Rattus norvegicus: one gene and its partners. The main gene of each other region encodes a partner of the protein of the gene in region 4 in a complex. Links are inferred from orthologs where the notes say so. Each region holds a gene or a part of one and is shown on either strand. Other genes may lie near its edges.

Region 1 (4,263 bases), on a different chromosome or scaffold from region 4:
AGAGAAGGGGCAATACTGCATCTTCCTGAATGCCTGTCTGTTCCAATGTAAGCCCATGCAGAACGAAGCTCAGTAAAAATGACAGAAACGGACTAAAGTCCCTCAGACAGACTCTCAAATGATCCAAGCTTTGGGATCTCCCATGTGGTAATTCTCTGGAACCTTATCTAACCTGGGACTGAGCTAGACTCTAGCCTTCCCCATGCATGGATGTCATTCAGCCTAGAATTAAATGGTTTTCATGGCTTTTTGAGGCAGGGTCTCACTCCAAGTGATCTTCCTACCTCAGCCTCTTATAGAGGTGTACAACTCCACACCCAGCTTGAAATGCTTTGTTGCTGTTACAAAAATACTCTATGGAAGCAAACTGTTCTATGCACCCAGGAGATAGGTAACAACAGAGGACTTACTGTGAGAACACACAGATGATGTCTCCTTCTGTCAGTTCATAAGGAAGCCCTCCTAGAAGAAAACAAACACTTGGGTTCAACAAACATTAAGCAAGTGTTTACTGCATGCTAGGCACTGGAGGTACAGATTAAACAAGCCACAATCTCAAATATATCAGTCTAATCCAATGATAGAATGAGTGGGTATAGTGACAGTAGTCCGGAAGGAAAGTAATTAACTCTCAGATCTCTGTGAGTTCCAGGCAAGCCTGGTCTACACAGTGGTTTCATAGTAAAACTCTGCCTCAAAGAAAGAGAGAAAGAAAGGAAGAAAGAGGGAGAGGGAGGTACAGAGGGAGGGAGGGGGGAAGAGAGAGAGAGAGAAAAGGAGGGAAGGAGGGAAGGAGGGAGGGAAGAAGGAAGGGAGGGAGAGAGAGAAAAAAAGGAGAAAAGGAAGGGAAAGGAGGGAAAGAAAAGAAGAGAAGAGAAAGAGAAAAAAATAGTAACTCTGAGTGGAAAGGCTGGGGTCATCACTCACCAAATTAATTTTATCTTTGAATCCTCACATCCAAAAATCCTATAAAGCAGGTGATTTCCTGCACAAGACTCAATCTCATAAACAGCAAGTTTAAGTATACTATTATTACCCTCACTTATGTGCAAGCTAAGATTTATAAGGGATAATATTAAGCATTTCATAGGAAACAATTTCCCCTCCCTCCATGTTTTCCCTCAAGTGTAAAAATGGGATGGTATCATATTTGCCTCACAGGAGTGTTAGAGAAATAAAGTAAAATGAGGAATATAAAGTGCTTAACACAATACCTATTACAACAGCCTCTTTCCAAAGGTAAACTGCAGGATTTTGGTTGGGACATAAAGTGAATACAGGATAATAATATTGTCACCAGAGAGTTAAGAGTTCCCCTTTTACAAAGGCTAGTAATGTCTTATCTTGATAATATAATTCTAAAGCAGACTAAGGAGGAAGCTTGAGGTCCATTTTATTAGCATTTGAGAGAGAGCTGATAGGGAAGCAAGTTGTAAGCTTCAGCAGCTACTGGGATGAAGGAGCTGCAGAAGAAGCAGCCATGCCTTCTGAATTAGCGGTCAAGCAAGCAGCAATGCACAGAGATGGAGGTAGAGGAGTGGTTCAAGGGGATAGGAGAGCCTTTAGATTTGGAATGAGACAGTCCAAAGTGTTCCGGGCAAGCATGTTCAGGATTCCAGCCAGCATCCAGAGAATGGACAGAAAGGGAGGGCAGGGGATAAGTGAGAACTCAGAATAACAGGTAGACTTAACACAGAGACCAGTAACAACTGCACTGGGGATCATTTCCCTCCCATGTCCTTAGCGTGTCTTTAGATGACTGAGCTTTCCTGACAGGTGACTCCTGGCCAGAAAATTTAAAGCCTGTTGGATTGTCTTAAGGAAGGGGAACACAAGCATGTAACATTTAGGATTCCTGAAAATGTCCCGGTATCTACCCAGGGCCAGGGGTGTAATCCAGACTGTATTCTTTTCATCAGTAGTTTTCCCTTAATGAACAACAAAGCTCACATCCCTCCACATTTTCAGATAGCCTTTCAAATGTTAAGCAGGAGAAACCCTCAATGTCGTCCAAGCCAGTTAATGTCTGTTCTGGTACCTAACAATACAACAAAGAACTGGGAGAAGCAGCCACTTACAAGAGGAAAATAATTCTGAGAAACGGCAGATAATAGACATGCAATAAGGACTAAGAACACAGCCCTATAGTTTTGAGTGATGCAGCACCTTAAGCAAGCCCAGTAACCCCTGTGCGCCTCAGTTTCCTTGACATCACTATGGGTTGCCTGGGGAGTTAACTGTCTCTAAGCAACCAAGTGGCAAGATTTTTCATATAATGAATGGCAAATACCAATTTCTAAGCAGTATCATAGGGGCCAAGTGAAAAAGGAACCTGTGAGCAGACTAGCTGCAAGAGTGTGAGGTGACGAGCAGCGTGTTCAGAGGTGACGACCAGGGGCGCTAAACAACCAGGAGGAAGGGGGAGGAGGGGAGGGGAGGTACAGACTCTGAAAGGCACTGCTAGAGAAAAATGTAGACCTCACCAAGAAAGATCCAGGCGCTGTCTTTGTATTCCGAGTGCCAAGACACCTTTTCTGCCACCCCAAGTTGAACCTCTCGCTCATTCAGTTCGTTGATCAGCTTCACCTTAGTTAAAGGGCTGTGCGGGAGAAGGGAAAGACGTTTAAGTACATTTCCTCACAGCCCGCCTTCTACGTACCGGTCGTCTCCCGCCCCGAGGCCCTGAAGGCGAGGACCTGTCCCCGCCCTTATGGGCGGCCCTCCTCAATCCATTCTCCCTTCCTCAGAGAAACTCCCTCCCCTGTCCTCAGAGAAACTAAATCCTTACTTCATATTCGCATCTTCGCGCTCCGCTCTTAAGACATCAGCTTCCGGGTGAGGCTCCGAAGCGCGCGCGCAACCCGAACACTCAGCTCAGATTGGAGCCAACGGAAATGGAGGCGGGACTTCCGGCGCGCTAAGCCTCGGCACATGCGCAGTAACGCAAACGCGCTTTCTCACGCTTTTGCTCCAGGGGCGAAATAGTTCCCTAGTTATTCCCTGCTTCCCTTTTTGGTGTAGCTCGAAGGTGGGAACCTGGGCGTTACAGTGGATCCGTGTGCTTCTGCAGTCTGAATTAAATGCCCACAGATTTAAATAACGGATGTGGCCTTTTTCCAGAGGCAGGCAAAAATTAGCATTGTCAAATTAGTACCTAACAATTGAAGAGTTAGAGAATGTAAAGGTTCCAAATGATAGAAAATTTATGCATGTTGTCTCTGTTAGGTCTCAAACCCAGGCTAAGTCTCACACCAGTGGCTGCCCCTACCCTAAACCTCTGCCTCCAAGGGGCTCAGTTTCTGCCATTTTCATTTTTCATTCAATCTCTGTTTCTTTACATACAGGGTTTCTTTGTGTAGCCCTAGCTGTCTTGGACATCGCTCTGTAGACCAAGCTGGCCTCCCAACAACCCCATGAAATACAGTTACCACCCCTACTTTACAGAGGAAAAAAAAACTGAGCTTCAACAAATTAGCTTGAATGTCTAGGGAGGTGGTTCAGTGGTTAAGACCATTTGGTGATTTTTCCAGAGAACCTGTATTCAGATCCCAGCACCCAAAACAAGTGGCTCACAACTCCAACTTCAGAAGATCCATCCTCCTCCTCTGGTTTCTGTGGGCATTTGCACTCCCATGGCATGCACAGATATACATACACATGAGTAAAACTAATAAATCTTTTAAAATTTGCTTAACTTGAAATGTCTTGAGCTTGTACCAATCAGGTCAGGCTAATTTAATCATCCCTTATTGAGCATCTAAATTTGTTCTGTACAGTTGGTCTATAGAAGGAATCTGGAGGACTGGTTTTCTGCATGCATAGAACTAATGGTATAAGGGGAAATCTATATGTACTTGAATACTTCATATCATAATTATCATATAATTAATAATTATTCATATCACAATTATCCAGAAATCAGTATGTAAACAGAAAATAGGAGTTCCTTTTTGTGAGTGTTAGGGTCCAAGAGTAGCAGAAGAATGATACCCCCCAGACTCAAATAGTATACAAAAGCAAAGAGTGTTTATTCAGCAGAATTTCCTGCATGCAAGAGTCTCCCCATTTGGAAATGAAAGCCTAGGTGTGTGCTCTGTAGGGTCAATTTAAAGTCTGTCAGGGTAGGGTGGGTGACATTTACTTTTCTTTCCCTTGATTGGTTGGCTGGTGTGGGTGCTTTTGTGATTGGTTAGGGCTCTGTGGACTTTCCAGGGTGGCAAGGCATCATCTGATTGACTGCCTGCTGCTGTGGCTGGCTGAACA
Region 2 (4,015 bases), on a different chromosome or scaffold from region 4:
AATCCAAGAGGAAAATGCCAGTGGCCTGAATTGAGGGTTAGTAACAGGGAAGGGAAGCTCAGGGTAATTTTCACAATACTGGGCAAGCATGGCAAGTGAACAGGATGTGATGAGGGAAGGTAGAGGGTCTCCAGCTTTGGGTTGGAGCCACTAATATGATAGCAGCGTCCTTTGTGTGAGGCTGAGAGAGGTGCACACCTTCCATAAATTAAAAAAAAAAAAAAAAAAAGAAAGAAACGAAGCTTTTCACCTTCTACTTTCAGGGGAGGCACATTGGGGGGGGGTTCTTTTATAATTCTCTTTCTTCATTTAAAAGTTCCAAAGGAAGGTCAGGGAAGAACTGAAATGTTCAGTTTTAGGAGATCCTTCCACTTGAGATAAACTGGAGAACAGAATTCTCTTTATCGAGCATTGGCCGTCCCCAAAATCTCAATGATGGACACCAAGACAACGTTGGCGAAGCCATCTTACCCATCTCGTGCTCCTCCTGGCAGTTAGGCCCACTGTTCCATAAATTCTCACTATCGTAAACGCTCACGGCATCTCCTCTCACACTACAACGCTTAATGCATATAGCTATGTATATATATATATATATTTATATATCTTAACAAGCAATGCGACTATAACCCCTGCCTTCAAGGCCAGTGGTTTCGCAGGAATGGTACCTTTGGAAAGCTCGTGGCTGCCCCCGTACTTATTTGCGCCTTCTTCATATCCACTTAAGTGACAACTCTAGTCCCTAGGCTGCGGGGTCTACTGAGGAGCAGGAGCCGTTGGGTCGGTCAGTTGGCAAGCTCTCCTCAGATCTCAACGCTTGCGAGACGCGGACCGGCTCCTGGCGCCTTCCGTCCTCGCAGAACCGCAGCGAAAGAGTCTGGGAGGGGGTCGGGAAAGGAAAAGACGCAAGAGAGATTAAGTAATTGGTTCTCAAAGGCACAAGATGATATTTGGGGTCGACTATGAAGCACCGGTTTCAAACGCCCGCCCCCTAAGCAGCCTTGGCTCCGCCCCTAGGCGACGTCACTCCATCTTTTTCCCGTGTCTCTGCGGATTGGTCACTGGGTCAGCCTCTAAAAGACGGTTAAAAAAAAAAAAAAAAAAAAAAAAAAAAAAAAAAAACCAACTCGGGATTTGCTTCCGGGTGTGGAGTTCGCGTCTTCTACACAGCCGTTGGGAGCGCGAAGATTTTGCTTCCGGGTCTTAGTTGAGTCCCAGGTGTAGAGACTGGAAGTTCTGCATTTTGCTTCCGGTTTTGCGCAGAGATTTCTGGGAGTTAAGGGTCGCAATGGTTCGTGAGTGAGCTTCTGAAGGCACTGCGTCGAACCCCCGCCACAGTGAGTAGCAGGGCATAGTGGTTTGTGGTCCCTGTGCGGGCCGCACCGGGGAGTCGGAGAGCCGTGACTATCGTCCGGGCCGCGGTGCTGGAATGGCGGTCGGGAGCTGCAGCCGAGCTCGGGGCGGTCACCGGCGCGGCACCGCTGACACTGAGAAAAGCAAAGGAGGGTAGGATGGGGTAGAAACTCCCACGTCCCACACGGTCTGTCTGAGCATGCTGCTTAAGCTAACGGAGATTTAGTAGCCCTGTAGTTAGGCTGGAATTCTTATTTGACAGCTAAAAATTGCAAAAGGTTCTCTGGTAGCCTAGGCTAGCTTGGAACTCCCGATTCTATTGCTCTCACCCCCCAAGCTCTGGAATCACAGGAGTAGTACCCAGTCATGCCCAGTTCTTGATGTTTGGTTGAGTGGAGTTCCGATTTTCTTAGGATTGCGTTAAGTTACAGCCTACCAAAGCTTTACGAATGTTGCGGTAACTGCTTTAGAGGGAAATTGAATCAACAAGATTCTGGGGTAATGTTGCCAGTGTAAATGTCATTGGGTTTTAAACAAACTCTAAGACACTCAATAAGTTTGCCTGTAACTTTAAAAGAAATTTGTTTTTTATTGGTCCATTTGCTGTAGTGTGAGGTTTCTGATAAAAATGCAAATCTTGGCCGGACAATTCCAGCAGTGCAGAGGCAGTCTGGTAGATCTCTGGAGAGTCCTAGGCCAGCTTGATCTGCATTGTGAATTCTAATTCAGCCAGAAATACATTGTGAGATCCTATCATAAAAAATAAATAAAACAAAATCTCAGAGAACCTAGTGCTAGTGGGATATAAAAAAAAAATTTAAGTCATTTATTTTAAAAGCCACACTACACTGTTGTCCAAGATCTGACATCACGTGTCAGAAATCTCATAATAATTCTATAGAAGTATCAACATTCCACAAGTGATAGAATCAAGCTAGGAGACTTGCGCAGGGCTACCCAGCTAAAACAGAAGCACAGACTCAGACCTTCAGAGTAGTTATTTATATCAAATAAGAGCTGCCTGGCAGTGCATATCTAGTAAACACCCTGAATTTCATGATTCTGCTCTTTAGAGACTTGTACTGAAGCAAACTACTTAAGCAGTTCTGGGGAGAGTTTTGAGAATGATTTAAGGACAGGTAATTATGAATGATCTATAAAATGAAAGTATAATTAAACCCATGTTTGTCAAAGAATAGAAGATGACAACAGCAGCCAGGCCAACTTTTGAACCTGCAAGAGGTGGGAGAGGAAAAGGAGAAGGTGATTTGAGCCAGCTCTCCAAGCAGTATTCAAGCAGAGACCTTCCCTCTCATACAAAGATAAAGTACAGGTAAGAAGCCTTTCATTTGTCCTGTTCACAGAATGGAACCAACCATGACTTATGATCATGTCTAAATTAATAGTATTTAAGTTACCGATCTTCCAAGAAAAGGCTTTCAAAAAGTTTACAATACAATTATTTGCTGTAGTTGTAAAGTGCTCTACGGTCTTTCAGCATAAGTTCCTATTGAGCAGGGATTGCTGGTGTGGATGAAGCCCTCACTAGTCATGATAACCAGCTCAGTCTTCTGAGTGAGTATGGGAGTTGCTGTAACAGCCCTGAGTGGAGGACTGTTTTCAAGAGACGTCCTGCTGTAGGAAGTTGTGTGATACGGAACCCCACGAGTGTATTAATAGCACTCTGATTGGGATATTGTCCTCTTCCGTTTTGTTCTTGATTGACACTTACATTCTGAATTGTCTCAAGTTGCTATAGCCATATAGGTTCTTTTCCTTGACAACTGGGGGCAACATTTTTGACCTGTTTTGGCTTGTTTTGTTTTTCTACTTAAGACAAACCACACAGGATGCCCCTGAAGAGGTTCGCAACCGTGACTTCAGGAGAGAGTTGGAAGAGAGGGAGAGAGCTGCTGCAAGGGAGAAAAATAGGGACCGTCCAACCCGAGGTATCTGCTGTCCCTCGTGTGTCACATAGTTATGTGATGCAAACTGTTTCCTGGTGATTGGAAACAATTAACATTGTTGTGAGCTATACCTCTTTGATAAGAGACAATAATGAGGTTTATTCCAGTCCCATCTTGTCATGCATTGGTACTGAAGACATGGTGACCTGAAGTGTTTAAAACCATTTTTCAGTTCCTGTCAGTAGACTTTGACTTTACAGCAGCTGGAACCCGCCCGAGGCCTTCTGTCTGGGACTCCCCATGTAATTGATGAGTTTTGAGAGAAGCATCAGTTACCCTTTTTATGTTTCTACCACATGTGAGCATTGGCTAGTCTCCTGAGACGCTGTGATCTGCGTGCTCACTAATTCACCCCATGTTAACCAACAAGTATTTATCAGAGACTTACTTGCCCGTCACAGGGTGGGTCCCTGCTGTCACTGTGCTTTGTGTGGATTCTTTTTGCCCAAAGGTTTCTAAAATGTTACTTAAAATCCAGTATGTACTTCAATATGCTAAATGTTTGTTTTCTTCAGAACACACAACTTCCTCTTCGGTGTCCAAGAAGCCCCGCTTAGACCAGATTCCTGCTGCCAACCTTGATGCTGACGATCCTCTCACAGATGTACGTGTTTTAGGTTTGGGTTTGGGTTAGCTTGTGTTTATTTGTTTGCTTGTTTCAAGCCGCCTCAGTGCTGGAACTGTGGGCCTCTGCC
Region 3 (3,977 bases), on a different chromosome or scaffold from region 4:
AGGCGGGGCTTTGAGGAAATCCATATATACTCAAGTTCTGTCCATGGCTAGACAGTATAGTTTCTCCTTGATGTCTTCCATTTTGGGTGCAGATCTCTCACCTTTCCCCCCAGCACCATGTCTGCCTAGATGCTCCCATGATGATAATGAGCTGTACTCCTCAATGTGTAAGTCATCGGCCACTTAATATTTTCCTTTATCATTGTCATGGTGTCTCTTCACAGAAATGCATAACCTAATTAAGACAGTTGGTTTCTGGTCTTTTGATACAGGGTTTTTTGTGTAGCCTTGCTGTCCTAGAACTTCCCCCGTAGAGCAGTCTGGCCTTGAACTCACAGGATCTGCCTCTGGGATTAATGGAATGTGCCACAGCTGCCAGATTAAGAATTATCTTTATTGGTGGTTGGGGAGTTAGCTCAGTGGGAGAGCCTTTGCCTAGCAAGCCCAAGGCCCTTGGTCCCCAGCTCTGAAGAAAAGGAAAGAAAAGAAAAAAGAATTATCTTTATTTAGCCGAACACAGTGGCAAACACCTTTAATCCTAACACTTGTGTGGTAGAGGCAAGCCAGTATCTGATCTAGGCCCAGCCTAGTTTATCGAAACACTTCCAGGACAGCTAGGGCTTCCCAGGAAAACCGTATCTCAGGAAGAAAGAATTGTCTTTCTCACCTGTCTCAGTTGTACTTTGGCTCCAAGTCATCTGCTGAGTTCCATTTAAACTCCTTTATCTTAATGTCTAGGATCTTCTCTCTTTTCACCACCCCCACACTGCTTTATAAATAATCAATTCGTTAAGCAAAATTTAAATAAATGACTGTTAACAGAACTATTAACTATAAGCACGGAGGCTGGTTTATAGTTGCAATCAGCCAGACTTTGTATCCTATTCAATACTCTTAACATGGAACATACTGATAGTGGAATTGGATAATAGTATTAGTTTCCCAAATTAAGACTGTATAGCATATCTTTTATTGTCACTACTGATGTGTTAAACTCAGAGACCCTCTTGCCTGTAAAGTTTACCGATGTTCGGTATTTCCAATGTTAAGGTAATTGTCTTGGCTAACCCATTTTCAACAGACAGGCTGCCACAATTCCCACTAAAAGAACTACAAGACCCAGAGTGCCATTCGGTCAGAGCGCCTGCGCAGTGAGCATTTTTCATTCGGTTCCTCGTTCCCGGGCAAGAATAGCCCCGCGACGCTGTGGCCTGCGCAGGAAGAAGCGGAAGAAGATGGCGCTCACCAGGTGGGTTGTTGATTTGGGTCCTCGATACGGAAGGGTCTGGAGTACACATCTTTTCCCTTTTTCTCTCCGGACTGTTCAGGCTATAACCTGATCTGGGGCACAGAAGTAGCCTAGCCAAGGCCGTAGCTAGAACCTCTCGCGGGCTTCCTTGCTGAGTAGGCCGCACCGAAGCCGGGGTCTTTCCTTAGGGGCTTCCCGGGTTGAGTTCGCCCCCTCCCCGCACCTAGAACCGCGACGTGGCCTCGCTGCGGAGCTCACGTGTGCTTCGCGTAAGCGGCGCGGCAGATTAAGCGCCCTGTGGACTCCGGGCTGAGGTGTTTGCGATACGAAGCAACGGCTTATTTATTCCTGATGAGCAAAGCTCGCCAATTTATTGGAGGCTTTCCAGCCGCTTGTATGCCTTGGGCTTCTTATTTTCTCCAGTACACTTTTCTGAAACAAAGATTTTTGCCAAAGGCAGAGTTGGAAACGACCAAAAACCGACCAATTTTTTTTTAATTGACAGCAGTAGGGGCTGCTGTTTACTGAAATGCGCGCTCCTCCGCGCTGTAACTTTGGACCTTAGAATTTTTGTACATAGAACCACCTCCGACTTTTGCTGTTCCTGGTTGCCCTGGTTACCGTGTGTAAAGTATTCCCAGCTAAGATGCTAAGTGGGAGACCTCCGAAACGTTATGTAACTCATAACTGCTCCAAGTGGAAAAACTTTCCCTGTGAACTCAGCTAAAAAAGTCTGATTTTAAAGAAGGTTTAAAAAAAAAAAAAAAAAAGAAGTCTTCATTTTAGGACATTGACTTAACGCCTATCAAACCCACTTCTAATATTTTTCCTGGCTCATAACAGTATGAATCCTAAAAGTATTTTGATTATGGGAATTAAGGTTCATTGTCCTGCTTTGCCCTATAGGTTGTATATATAGAATAAAATATATTTTTTTGATACCGGGAAGATGGACAAGTAGATACACAGGTGAAAATAGTTCAGGCAGGAGAAATCACTGAGGTTTAAGGCCAACCAGGTCCGTTAAGATAGTTTAAGGCCAGGATTTAACAAAAAAAAGCCACTGTCCTTGTTAGCTTTTAACTGCTTTACACCAGGTAAAACAATATCAGGCAAAAGAATTGCCTAGATCAAATCGGCCTATGGACATGTCTGTAGAGGATTGTTTTTCTTGCTAAGAGATGCAGGAAGCTCCAAGCCACTACGGGCGGCACCTTTCCCTAACCAGGTGGTCCTGAACGGTCTAAGAAAGCTAGATGAGCATAAGCCACTCTGCCAACAAGCAAGCATCTTATTTGGTGCCTTGCCTGCCTGCTTGCCTCCCTCCTTCCTTCTCTCCAGGAAAGCAAGTCACTCTTGCTTTTGATTGTGTGTGAGATTTCACTCACGGCCTTGATATCCCTCAGTGGGTTGTAACCTGGAATTGTAAGCCAAATGTACTAGCTGGTTTTGTGTGTCAACTAGACACAAGCTGGATTTATCCCCCAGATAGGAGCCTCCCTTGAGGAAATGCCTCCGTGAGATCCACATACCTGGTGGCCTGTGTTCTATTGATTGATTGTTTTGTTTCATTTTACTTTGCTTTTTAGGATCATGAACTGTCCCAGCAAATGAATCTAACCCAAAGAGGGGAGGAAGGTGTTGGGTACCAGTGTCTGTGCCTGTAGAGATCATCCATACCTTATGCTGTCACTAATAGGCTAAGCTCAGGAACCTCTCTTCTATAAAGGGTTTTTGTTTGGGGGGTTTTTGTTGTTGTTGTTGTTGTTGTTGTTGTTGGGTTTGATTTTGGTTTTTTGAGACAGTGTTTGTTTGTGTAGTCTTGACTGACCTGGAACTTGCTCTGTAGACCAGGTTGGCCTGGTCATACAGATCCACCTGCCTCTGTCTCCCAAGTTGAATTAAGGTCTCCACCATGCTCCAGCTTCTGTTGCCTTTATTAAAAGGAACTGGTCACCCAAAAATCCATCTCATCACACCTCTGTACTGATGAAACTGTACTCTGAAACTGATGAGAATATTTAATATTTAAAACAGTAGGACCCCAATATGTAGTCTGTGGAACCAAAGTCCTGGTGGCCAAGTCTCCAATTGTCATTGGAAGTAGAGGCACTCCAGTGGTATTGAGTCCTCAGTCTCTGGGGACTGAACTGAATTAGGAAGTGCCTAGCTGCAGTCTGCTGGAGTATCACTTGTTTGCTTGGTGTGTGGGAAACGTTTGAGGTCAGCCTGGGCTACACAGTGAGACCCTTAATAAGTAAGTTTAAGAACATTCCTGGTAAATCTTTAATATTTTTTGGCAAAGGTTTTGAGATGGCTTGTTTAAGTAAAGGCAGGAAGACTGCTGTGTTGCAAAACCATGACTGCAAAGGGCAGAGTGAAACTCTTGGAAATATTGGAGCAACTCCTGTTACCAGACAGGGTGCTGGGACAGTTAGGGACAAAAGAAGCACAAGATGCAGTTCCTACTCTCAGGTTGCTCAGTCTGGTAAATGATTAGTTAATCATAATGCAGAAAGATAGAGGGACTAGAGAGCTTTTTTTTTCTTTTTTTTCTTCCGGAGCTGGGGACCGAACCCAGGGCCTTGAGATTGCTAGGCAAGTGCTCTACCACTGAGCTAAATCCCCAACCCCGCTAGAGAGCTTTAATCCCAGAACTGGGGAAGCACCTGGATCTATACAATGAGGCCCTGTCTCCAGAGGGAAAAAAATGGAAGGAAAGACAGAC
Region 4 (3,500 bases):
ACTCCTGTGTGTCAGGCACTGCTAGGTATGTGTGTCATTGTGGAATTCCTACTCAGTCACGTTCTTCGGTGACTTGAACTGATGGGGTCTGTGCCCCACTGTGGAGTCTGGGCCGGGAAGGGAGCAATGTTGATTCATGGAGATTGCCTCTGGCATGGGAGAGTTAAATAGTCGTAAATGGTATTCAGTAGTAAATAGGGTAAAAGGATGGCAAGGTAAGCCAGGCTACGTTTAAACTTAGGCAGATAAATTGCCACCATACATTTAAAGAGCTGTAAGTCCTACAGAGTAACCAGAGTTCCAAGGTTTTAGTGAGAGAGATTAGGAAAGTAGACAAGAAGCAAATTATGAAGCCTTGTGTCCCAGGCTAAGTGGCCCAGGGTTTAAACATGAAGGCAGCAAGAAGCAATTGTGGTTTACAGACTGGTTCTACATGTTGCTCATTATGGGAAACTAACAATTTTTGATCAGCAGCAAGTTTTATTATTTTTCAAGTGGCTCCAGAGAAAAGTAAGACATTCTAGATAGATGAGTAGGTGACACTTGGCAGTATCCCATGGAATCCTTTCAAAAAGCCTTTAAGCCTTATCACTGTATTCTCTGCTCTAGAGGTACCATTTTAGGAGTAGAGCTTCTTAGCATTTTAAGGTTTGTTTTTAGAATTTTAAGATTTTGGATGTTCAAAATGATTAATGATTTGTTTCCCTTTCCCTCAACTTGTAAAACTATGACTGTAAAGACTATTATGTGACCAAGAAGAAACCAGTTCCAGAGCAAAAAGGAACAAAAGATTCTAGACAAGACTTCCATGCACATATGCCTGGATTTTGTACACCTGCTTTAAACACATCTCCCAAGAATCCTTCAGAGAACTCAAGTCCTTGTCTTCCTTACTCTTGTGAATTCCCTTTATGCTATTTTGCCTCCAAAAGCCCATGTTCACCTGGGGAGCACACGGACAAAGCGTCAGACTCCTGCAATAGTGCTAGGAACCGTGGTGAACTGCAGAAGCACCGTGACCACAGTGCCTTTCCCCCAAAACTACAGATGAACACTTACAAAACTTCCGTCCCTTGCTCTAGTGTGCAAGAGGCCATTGCTACTTCACAGGCAGTTGGCAGATTTATGCCTAGGACAACACAGCTGCAGGAGAGGAAAAGACGGCGAGACTGTGATCGTGAACTTGGAACTTTTCTTGAAACAAACATAAGCAGTAACGAGGTTTTGATTGGACCTAAGTTACCAGGTATTCCCACAGTAGATCTGCAGGATGACTCCTTGAATACAACGGCAAACTTAATTCGGAGTAAACTTAAAGAGGTGAGGTTTTTTGTTTTTTTGTTTTTTTTGTTTTTTTTGTTTTTAATTAATTGTGAGACCAACAACTTGATAGGAAATTTGGAGGAACTAAAACTTTGTAATTATTTGGTTTTGTTATCTTCTAAAATATCAAATTTGATCAATATCTATCTTTTTTTTTTTTAAGTCATTTCATTTTATGTATGTGAGTATACTGTCACTCTCTTCAGACACACAGGCAGGAAGAGGGAGGACATCGGATCCCACTCAGATGGTTGAGAGCCACCATGTGGTTGCTGGGAACTGAACTCAAGCCCTCTGGAAGAGCAGTCAGTGCTCTTGACCACTGAGCCATCTCTCCAGCTCCCTTTACAGTCATCCTTGACTTAACAATGAACAGATACATTTTATGTCAGTATAGGTACAAAATGCTAAATGTCCAGTCAATCAGACTATGACAGCTGATTCCGGATACTGTCTTTCCTCCCTTCCCTATTTAAAGCCAGCTCCCTAGGTAGTAATAGCATAAGCAAAAATTGACAGTTATAATTGATTATTTCTCTTAAAATTCAGCTAACTGCAGATTACATCAGAGTCAAATATTCATAAAAGGAATGATTTTGATCAATCACTTAATTTTGTTGGGAACCGAACTCAGGGACTTGTGTGTTGGGCAAATGCTCCATCACTGCCGCATCCCCAGCCCACAAAGTGAGATTATTAAAAACTGAGTCTGTGCCTGCCCACACTCAGTTGTGTGTGTCAAGATCAAAGCTCTGAATAGTTAGAGATCAGATTGTCTAACCCCCGTTCCCGTTATTTACTTTATTTTCCATTCTGTAAACACAAAAGAAAGTTAACAGTTGCAGGAGCTTGTGAAAGCTTTTTGTGGAGTGGGATGGGCCTCAGAATCATTTCTGGAAGGCCGTAAGCATTTTCTTAGTTAACTCCCTGGTCAGCCCAGCTCACACGGGGGCTCACACGGGGGCTCACACGGGGCTCACGTGGCGCCCTCTTGTTCTGCAGTGTGATTGGAGAAGTGATTGGAGAGGAGGTGCTTCTCTGTCTTGTTTTGGTTTAGAGTTTTGTTTCCACCTAGTTGAAATGGTAAAGTGTATGAATGTGGTTTTATTTTTAAGTCTCCCTAAGTTTTTCGATATATGCCAGCACCTTACTTCCTTCTGGTGCACTACACTGAGGCACACAGACTCGTGGCTGTCTCAGTCAGGACCAACTGCATTTAAGTGTAAACTCTACATCCAGAGAAATAACAGGTCAACAAAAACATACTTCATATACTTAACCACAACTTCTAGTATTTTCCCATCTCAAATCAAGGTGGTCTTATCCTGCCTTTGCCCTACTATTAAGTTATTTTTGGTAATGGAATAACAACAATGTATTCAGAAGCCATTGCAGCTGAGATCTCTGTTAGCCAGCCTGGTCCACCTAGTAAGTTCCAGGTCAGGTCAGGCCAGTCAAAGTTACACCTGTTCAAAAATAAACCAAACAACCTGTAAAACCAGGATTTTATCTGTATCCTGCTGTTTCTGGGCTAAGGTGAAATCCCAATGTTGTTTCAATTTGCATTTGTTTGAGGTGAGATAGCATCCTAATCTGTTCTTTTGCATTTCCCTGTTGCTAATGATGTTGGACATTTTCAAACTTGTGTTGGCCATATGTGTTTCTTCCTTTGAGATCTGTTCAGCTTGTTAGCCTGCTTATTGACCGGATCACTTGTCTTTAGTGTGTAACTTTCAGCAGTTCTTTGTAGATGCTCGACATGAAGGCCTCATTTGTGTCATTGGGCACAGACCCCCCATTGTGCAGGCTCTTTCACTCACGTTCCTGACTGTGCTGCTGTGCAGAAGCTCCTCAGTTCCATGTGATCCCATTCGTCAGTTTGCTCATCATAATCTGTTCCTTTACAATCCATTTCAAAGATCTTTGCCTAGTCTCTTGAAGTGTTCTTCCTGTTTTCCTCTGGTAGTCTGAGAGCTTGTTACAGTCCTCAGTACATTTTGAGTGTGTGTGTTTGTGTGTGTGTGGTGTGTGGTGTGTGTGTGTGTGTGTGTGTGTGTGGTGTGTGTGTGTTTGTGTGTGTGTGTGTGTGTGTGTGTGTGTGTGTGTGTGTTCTCCATGTGTTTTTGATACCCTTGTCAAAAAATGTTGTAGCTGTGGCTATGTGGGATTACTTCTGG

The links.
Region 1: Rbm48 (region 4) and Rbmx2 share a complex: the UniProt entries of both Homo sapiens proteins name them as parts of the minor spliceosome. The link is inferred for Rattus norvegicus from reciprocal best matches to the Homo sapiens genes RBM48 and RBMX2.
Region 2: Rbm48 (region 4) and Cwc15 share a complex: the UniProt entries of both Homo sapiens proteins name them as parts of the minor spliceosome. The link is inferred for Rattus norvegicus from reciprocal best matches to the Homo sapiens genes RBM48 and CWC15.
Region 3: Rbm48 (region 4) and Snw1 share a complex: the UniProt entries of both Homo sapiens proteins name them as parts of the minor spliceosome. The link is inferred for Rattus norvegicus from reciprocal best matches to the Homo sapiens genes RBM48 and SNW1.

What each region holds. Positions count from the first base shown.
Region 1 is NC_086039.1:132,764,932-132,769,194, reverse strand, and holds the start of Rbmx2 (RNA-binding motif protein, X-linked 2), read right to left. Parts: upstream 2,801-4,263; 5' UTR 2,794-2,800; coding exon 2,789-2,793; intron 2,600-2,788; coding exon 2,484-2,599; intron 463-2,483; coding exon 411-462; intron 1-410. UniProt on the Homo sapiens protein: Involved in pre-mRNA splicing as component of the activated spliceosome. As a component of the minor spliceosome, involved in the splicing of U12-type introns in pre-mRNAs.
Region 2 is NC_086026.1:19,585,701-19,589,715, forward strand, and holds the start of Cwc15 (spliceosome-associated protein CWC15 homolog), read left to right. Parts: upstream 1-1,215; 5' UTR 1,216-1,337; exon of another isoform or gene 1,338-1,506; intron 1,507-2,547; exon of another isoform or gene 2,548-2,552; 5' UTR 2,553-2,555; coding exon 2,556-2,686; intron 2,687-3,189; coding exon 3,190-3,302; intron 3,303-3,835; coding exon 3,836-3,924; intron 3,925-4,015. UniProt on the Homo sapiens protein: Involved in pre-mRNA splicing as component of the spliceosome. Component of the PRP19-CDC5L complex that forms an integral part of the spliceosome and is required for activating pre-mRNA splicing.
Region 3 is NC_086024.1:112,847,660-112,851,636, reverse strand, and holds the start of Snw1 (SNW domain-containing protein 1), read left to right. Parts: upstream 1-1,177; 5' UTR 1,178-1,235; coding exon 1,236-1,249; exon of another isoform or gene 1,250-3,977. UniProt on the Homo sapiens protein: Involved in pre-mRNA splicing as component of the spliceosome. As a component of the minor spliceosome, involved in the splicing of U12-type introns in pre-mRNAs.
Region 4 is NC_086022.1:31,516,894-31,520,393, forward strand, and holds part of Rbm48 (RNA-binding protein 48), read left to right. Parts: intron 1-739; coding exon 740-1,320; intron 1,321-3,500. UniProt on the Homo sapiens protein: As a component of the minor spliceosome, involved in the splicing of U12-type introns in pre-mRNAs.